2 linked regions of the Callithrix jacchus genome follow. The protein of the gene in region 1 interacts with the protein of each later gene in a pairwise test. Links are inferred from orthologs where the notes say so. Each region holds a gene or a part of one and is shown on either strand. Other genes may lie near its edges.

The links.
Region 2: the proteins of ZNF410 (region 1) and SERTAD1 interact in binary tests that used the Homo sapiens proteins (3 or more experiments, as listed by UniProt). The two-hybrid records come from large-scale screens. The link is inferred for Callithrix jacchus from reciprocal best matches to the Homo sapiens genes ZNF410 and SERTAD1.

What each region holds. Positions count from the first base shown.
Region 1 is NC_133509.1:108,853,346-108,856,980, reverse strand, and holds part of ZNF410 (zinc finger protein 410), read right to left. Parts: intron 2,137-3,635; coding exon 2,011-2,136; intron 1,211-2,010; exon of another isoform or gene 1,049-1,210; coding exon 908-1,048; intron 622-907; exon of another isoform or gene 417-621; intron 1-416. UniProt on the Homo sapiens protein: Transcription factor that binds to the sequence motif 5'-CATCCCATAATA-3', and is specifically required to silence expression of fetal hemoglobin in adult erythroid cells.
Region 2 is NC_133523.1:35,982,840-35,986,994, reverse strand, and holds the start of SERTAD1 (SERTA domain-containing protein 1), read left to right. Parts: upstream 1-1,335; 5' UTR 1,336-1,461; intron 1,462-4,052; coding exon 4,053-4,155. UniProt on the Homo sapiens protein: Acts at E2F-responsive promoters as coregulator to integrate signals provided by PHD- and/or bromodomain-containing transcription factors. Stimulates E2F1/TFDP1 transcriptional activity.

The sequences.
Region 1 (3,635 bases):
AGCAGTCACCAATGATAATGACAGCACTCACTGACTGAATATGGTATGAACCAATGACACTGATAGCACTCACTGACTGAAAATGATATGAAGAGCAAAACACAAGATCTCACAGTTACTAAATGTTCATCAGTGGGATCACCATGAAAATCTAGAAATATTTTAAGGATATACCACTTAGCCCTCAGAAAATCAAAAGTTTCTTCTAGGGGTTTTCTAGCTGATATAACTCTTTTATACTGTACCATATAATTTAATGTTCACTATATACTGCCTTTTATGTACTCAATGTTGTTTCCCATATATATGTAAGCTTTCACTTCTCAACTGGATATTAAGGTCCCTAGCTTCTACTTTTGTCTTTCCCATGGTGCCAGGCACACAGTAGGCACTGAATAAATGCATGCTGACCTCACCTGTTAAGTTTTTCAGAGAAGAGGGCCTGGCCTGTGTAACTTGGGTGAAATTTCTATACCAGAGAGGAGCAAGTGTTTCCTAGAGAGCCCTTTCTTTTCTCCAGAAGATATGGCTTTTGAAGGTATGGAGAAATTGCTTTATATCTCCTCTGTAAAACCTGGTTATGTTCTGTTTAAATGTTTTAAAAGTTAAGTTCTTCCATAACTGCAATAGGAAAGATAGAAATAGTTGTGCTAGGATGCTAGGATTATGAATAATTTTTTCTTAAGATTTTTTCTTTTTATTCTTTGTTATATTATCTTCAATGAAAAAAAATTTTTTTAAACAGACTCACTTATCCACCCCAGAGAATAAGAACACAAATGCTACTCAATCATACCACAGCTATTCATAAGAAATGAGATTTAAACCTCCACTGTGGAGACACCCCATTCCTTAGCCCCTAGTTGCAGCCCATTTTTCCCAAATAAAGGAGAGGTGGAAGTCTTACCATCATCAACTCCCAGGATAGAATTGGTATTTGGTAGGTTCAAGGACTCTCCACCAAGGCTGGGCTGGGAATTCATAGACACCAGGTTTTTACTGGGTACTGAAGCCTCTTCAAGCAAACTACTGCCCATTAGTGGCTCAGCTGCACAGAGAATAGGTTGTGAGAGACATACAGCAGTCAAGGCTGTGCCTGGTCCTCATTTTCTTTCAACGGGAAGCTGGACTTCTCTTTCATTACTAGAAGTTAACCTATGTATTGGATGCCACCTCTTATTTCACCTACTTTCGAGAAACAAGAATAAACCTAGAAGGGAAAGAGTAATAAGCCTAATGACCCTTGCTTGTTTTCAGCATCTGAAGAATTAGTATATGAGACAGGATAGGCGGACCTTTAGAAAGGAATATTTGGAACAATTAAGGAAAGGAATAAGACAATTAATGGCAAAGGAATAAGAATTAAAAAGTTGTCAAATTTCAGACAGGGCAAAAAGGTAGTCACAACTGGTAAGCAGAAAATGCTTCCAGCCTGGCCAACATGATGAAACCCCATCTCTACGAAAATACAAAAATTAGCCAGGTGTGGTGGCACCTGGCTGTAATCCCAGCTACTCAGGAGGCTGAGGCAGAAGAATCCTGAACCCAGAAGGCGGAGGTTGCAGTAAGCTGAGATGGCGCCACTGCACTCTAGCCTGGGTGACAGAGTAAGACTCCATCTAAAAAAAAAAAGCTTAAACTTTTGCCATACAGAAATCTTTTGTCACTGTGTTACTGAAATCCTCGTTCATGGATCAGCACTAGTTACCATCAAACTTACTACGGGAACTTTTAAAACTACAGATTCTGGGATCTTGCAAATTATCTCATTTATGAGATTGCTTTGTTTTATTGGTGGGGGGGGACAAGCAACAAAAAAATATATAAATTTTAAAAGCTTGCAGATGATTCTACTGTATAGCTATGTTTGGAAACCATCAGCCCATCAAATGAGACCAGGTCTATCTACCCAAAACAGAATCAAAAAATTTCCAGATAACCAGGCAGGACAGTGATTTGGCTCTTTGAACCCTAGAAGGGATAGCCCTCTACTACACCCACCCTCCTCACCAGGTGGCTCCTGCTCTTGACTCCCAGCTGCTCCCAGCTGCAAGTGATGCTTTCTCATATGCACATTCCTGCTTCCACTCTGAGAGAAGGTCTTCCCACAGACTTGGCACTGATGAGGCTTCTCTCCTGAAACAGGGAGCAGGTTAAACAGGGAAGCCAAAACAACAGAAGAGAATGGACTCAAGACCTAGATGAAGAAACTCAGAGAATGTTAAACTGAACATAAACAGCTGCTCCTTTTCCCATTCCCCACCTTTCCCAGTCTCTCAGTACATGGGGGAAGGCAGGAAGAGTACACTGGGTGGGATTTAGCACACTCCCTGCTTCTAGCCCCTGGACCTTTCCAGACCCGCTCTACTGCTGTCTTCACAAAATCTCTGTGGTATAGGATCATGACAGCCAAAAAAATATGCCTCCTTTTTCAGATAGTGTTCCAGGGACCTCTAGGACATGTACTTTCCTCGAGGACTCCAATCCTGGGTTCCTAATATCCCCTTGTCATACTCCCTGGCACTACTCTTTAGGGTCATCAACATTCACACTGGTGGCTCTTCTAACATGATCTAAACTGTCTTCTATGTCTTCAAGTTCTAAATTCTCTGTTTCTATTCTACCTACCCAGACAATCATACTCAGAAGCAGGGGTCAAAATCTCATGTCTGTAGGGGACTGATAGGCAGCAAAAGTAAGTAAAATGGCCAAGTGGGGGTCACAGTAACCTAGAGAGTACCTTTCCCGGAAAAGGGGCAGCTATTATTCCGTTCTAGCCAACTGTTGCCATATTTAGATTAAGGCGTACCACTGCCAGATTCTCTGTTTGTTTGTGTTTTAAACACACTGGAAATAGGATTTTTAAGTAGAATCTCTCCATTTCTAAATGCTAGGAACAAATTCACAATTGATAAACACATGGTACAGCAATCTTCGTTGCTGATTGTATTTTGCTGGGAATGCAAAATACAAAAACCTCTTTGGGGGAATCTGACAATATCTAGAAAAAATGTAGATGCACTTGCCCTTTGACCTAGGAATCCCACTTCTAGGAATATGTCCCAAACTATAGTGACAAAATGTGAAATAATCTATGCACAAGGTTATTCATCACTGCAACATTATTTTAAAATGGCTAAATACTGGAAACAACCTAAATATTAATCACAGAGACTGACTAAAAAGCTATAGATATTGCAATAGTCCTGCACAGAAGAAAAAAGGCTATATAATAGAAACAGGGTAGAATATTACAAAGCTTTAAAACTAAAAATTGAATCACCATTTGAACCAGCAATCCCATTACTGGCTATCTACCCAAAGGAAAATAAACTGCTCTACCAAAAAGACACCTACACTCACAAGTTCACTGCAGCACTATTCACAACAGCAAAGATATGGAATCAAACCAGGTGCCCATCAATGGTAAATGAGATAAGGAAAATGTGGTACATACACACCATGGAATACTATGCAGCCATAAAAAAGAACAAAATCATATCCTCTGCAGCAACATGAATGCAGCTGGAGGCCATTATCCTAAGCAAATTAACAAAGAAATGGAAAATCAAATACATGTTCTCACTTATAAGTAGGAGTTAAACACTGGGTACATATGGACATGATGATGGGAA
Region 2 (4,155 bases), on another chromosome or scaffold:
TTCAAATCTCTCCAGGACCCAAGAACATCCTTTATAGTTGCTTTCTTTTCTCCAAAATCAGGATCCAGTGAAGGATCACGTGCTAATTTGGTTGTAATGAAGAAATTACATACTATATTTTATTCTGGGATATTCCCCCACCCGAATCCTTTTTTTGTGTGTGTGAGACAGAGTCTCACTCTGTCATCCAGACTAGAGTGCAGTGGCACAATCTTGGCTAACTGCTACCTCTGCCTCCTGGGTTCAAGTGGTTCTCCTGCCTTATACTCCTGAGTAGCTGGGATTACAGGCACATGCCACCACGACCAGCTGATTTATTTTGTAGTTTTAGTAGAGACGGGGTTTCGCCATGTTGCCCAGGCGGGTTTCCAACTCTTGACCTCAGGTGATCCATCTGCCTTGGCCTCCCAAAGTGCTGGAATTATAGGCGTGAGCCACCACACTCAGCCCCAAACCATTTTTTATCTTTTCTTGACATTGAATTTCTGGCAAAATAGCCCAGTCGTGCTGTAGAGTGTCCCACATTCTGGATTTGTCTGACTGTGTTTAATTTGTTCCTCTCTATTGCCAGTAAACTGGAGGCTGAATCTAAAGGCCTGGGGAGATTCTGCTTATGCAGTGAACTGGGAGACTCCACAGGGTATGTCCTAATTCTTATTAATGTACTTCCTAATCCTAATGCATTATGGTAGGTGGCACCCAGTGTCCCGCCATTGGTAATGCAGAATTTCATTACATGATTAAGATTATGAGGGCTACATCATAAAAGGATTTCATCCTTTGCAGTTAGCAAATAACCTTTGAGATGATGCTTTAGAGCCTGTCAGGACCCTATCTCTAGACTGTGCTCTTATAGATACCATCCTATTTAAACTTTGCTGTGAAGAGGTAGGCAAGACTATCCTTATTTAACTTCGTGTAGCTTGGAGAGGTCGATCAGTTTTCCAAGGTCACAAATCTACTGAGTGGTGAATCCGGAGTCGGAATTTGAACCCGGGCATATCTGTAGTGTAGACCCCTGTCGGGGCGTGATGTGTAAGAACCTTAATTGCCATATTTGGCAGGTGCATGGGTAGTTGTGAGGGGCTCGTACTTTGAGAGGCAAAAGGCCCACCCGCCACCATTCCCCAGGGTAAAAAGCCACCTCTTTTCACCCTTCACTAGAGCAGCTGCCCGGGCATGCGCCCTGAAGCCAACCTCCCCTCCTTCAGAATCCGCCCCCTACAGGCTCCGCCCATCACCGTCCAGAGCCAATCCCTGGGGCGAAGGGAGGGGCAGCCACGAGAGTGGGCGTCGCTAAGGTTAGTTAGGAGTCTGGAGTCGTGCGCTCGAGTCAGAACTGCGTCTTGCGATCCAGGTGCCGGTTGCTGGAGGAGAGTGAGCAAGCGATGCTGCTGCCGCCGTTTCCTGATTGGCTGTGGATGGCTACCTCTTTGTTCTGATTGGCCGCTAGTGAGCAGGGTATGTAAATGAAGGGGCCTGGGGAGAGAAGGGGTGCCAGCGGCCGGGTCCTTTACGAAGTTCGATCCCTGGGTCCGACAGGTGCCCGTCTGGGCTGACCGGGATCGAGACACACGGGCCTCTATGTGCCGTCTGCCCCGGCCGGGCCGGGTGAATCACGCCGCAGCCCGAGAAGGGGGCGGAGGCGCCGGCTCCCTGGCTCCGGCTGCGTGACTCACCCGCCCCCGCCGCCGCCGCCGCTTCGGGAGGAGCCGCCTCCACTGCCGGAAGCGAGCGGAGGCCGGGCGCACAGAACAGCCCGCCGGGGGTCCCGGCTCTCACGGCCCCGGGAGGCCGGCAGGAATCACAGCCGGGAAGCGGGGCAGTAGGAGTCCTGGGGTCAGAGGGGCCAGAATCCCCGGGGGAAAGCCGGCCTGGGCACCGCTAGGGGGCGCCGGGACCCGGGGGCGGAGTCGGGGGTCGGGGGCGGAATTCCTGCGGTTCCTCACTCCTGGGACCGCGGGGAAGGGGACGGAGACCCAGTTTTGACTAGTGTGATGGTCCACTCTTAAGATCTTGCTAGGCAGGGTCCCGGGAACTGGACCCTGGACCCTTACTGGCCCAAAAAGGTAGGTAGCGCCAGGGGTCCAAAACTCCAACCCCACCCCCAGCCACTCCAAGAAGAGAGTGGGTCCTCAAACTTATCTCAGTGACTGACCCCAGTGCCCAGCACGATTTCCCGGCAAGCCCCGTCGATTCTGCCTCCCAAATAAATCGTGACTCGACCGACTTCCTTCCATACACTACCAGCTCCTCCTCCAGGCCATCACCATCGTCCGTCCCAACCGAGTACAGCTTACCAGTGGTTCTCAGATTCCCCCTCTTCCTCCCCTCCCCCCAGTCTTCCTCAAAGCAGCCATGGGGGGACGGAAACCCAGTCAGCTCACAACACCACTCCCCTCCCTGCTCAAATTCCTTTAATGACCGCCCACCACGCTCATGATAAAATACAGACTCCCTACTTCTGCATATGTGGCTTTCTGTGACCTGGCTGGTGCCCGTTTCCTCTGCTGCTCCCCAATCTGGTCTCCTACCATGTCACTCTCTGTATGCCAGGCATGCTAGTCTCTTTCAGTTCAAGCCCATCCAGCCTCTGGGTCTTTGGTTGCCTTTTTTTGTTGATCCCTCCTCCCAGAATCCTTTTCCCAGGGGGTCTCCCTTGGCTGACTTCTCTGGCCTGAGGGCTCCATTCAAATGTCACCTCCTCTCGGGAGCCTCCTCTGATCATCTGAAAGGTCTCCAGGACCTTTTAGTGTCTTCCTGTAATTCTCTGTACATTTCCTGTGTTTGCTTATTTATTTACTGTTTGAAATATATAGTAGACAATAAATATTAAACTATGTGAAACTAGTTTAGTATTTATAATTTATACATAATTACTTATAATAAACTATGTGAAACAGCTGCTTTTGTAGGGGAAAGGTGAATATTGGCCATTCCACATGGTTCACTGAAGACATTATAATGTTATCATTAAGAGTATTTATTGGTGGTCTGGGCGAGGTGGCTCACACCTGTAATCCCAGCACTTTGGGAGGCCTAGACAGGCAGATCGTGAGCGCGGTCAGGAGTTTGAGACCAGCCTGGTCAACATAGTAAAACCCTGTCTCTACTAAAAATACAAAAATTAGTGGGCGTGGTGGCGGGTGCCTGTAATCCCAGCTACTGGGGAGGCTGAGGCAAGAGAATTGTTTGAACTTGGGAGGCAGAGATTGCAGCGAGCCGAGATCTCGCCATTGTACTCCAGCCTGGACAACAAGAGAGAAAAATTGTCTCTCAAAAAAAAAAAAAAAAAAGGTGTGGCAGCTCAGTTATAATACCAGCACTTTGGGAGGCTGAGGCGGGAGGATGGCTTGAGGCAAGGAGTTTGACACCCTGAGCAACATAGTGAGACCCTGTCTCTACAAAAAATAAAAGGAGAAAGAAAAAAGAGTACTTATTGACTGACGCAGGAGGATTGCTTCAGGCTAGGAGTTTGAGACCAGCCTGGGCAACAAAGTGAGACACCATCTCTATTTTTTTAAATAAAGAAGTCCATAAATATACTTTATAAAATATAAAATACAAAATGTAAGAAGTCTATAGGCTGGGTGCGGTGGCTCACGCCTGTAATACGAGCACTTTGGAGGTCGAGGTAGGCAGATCACTTGAGGTCAGGAGTTTGAGACCAGCCTGGGCAACATGGTGAAACCCCATCTCTACCAAAAATACAAAAATTAGCCGGGCGTGGTGGCTTATAGCTACTCGGGAGGCTGAGGAACGAGAATCACTTAAACCCGTGAGGCAGAGGTTGCAGTGAGCTGAGATCATGCCATTGCACTCCAGCCTGGGCAACAGAGCGAGACTCCATCTCTTAAAAAAAAAAAAAGTCTATAAATATACATCTACAATTAAATAAAAATTGCCTATATCTTTAAAGTTCCCTAACAAAAGCTAGGCACAGAGACGCTAAGTGACTTGCCAAAGATCCTACCTGCAGCAGCTGTCAGATCCAGGCTTTGAACTTGACATTTGTTTTCCATAACTTGACTTTAACTCCCTGCTCTCTGCAGATGCTGAGCAAGGGTCTGAAGCGGAAGCGGGAGGAGGAGGAAGAGAAGGAATCTCTGGCAGTCGACGCCTTGTGGCTGGATCCTGGCCACGCAGCGGTGGCAC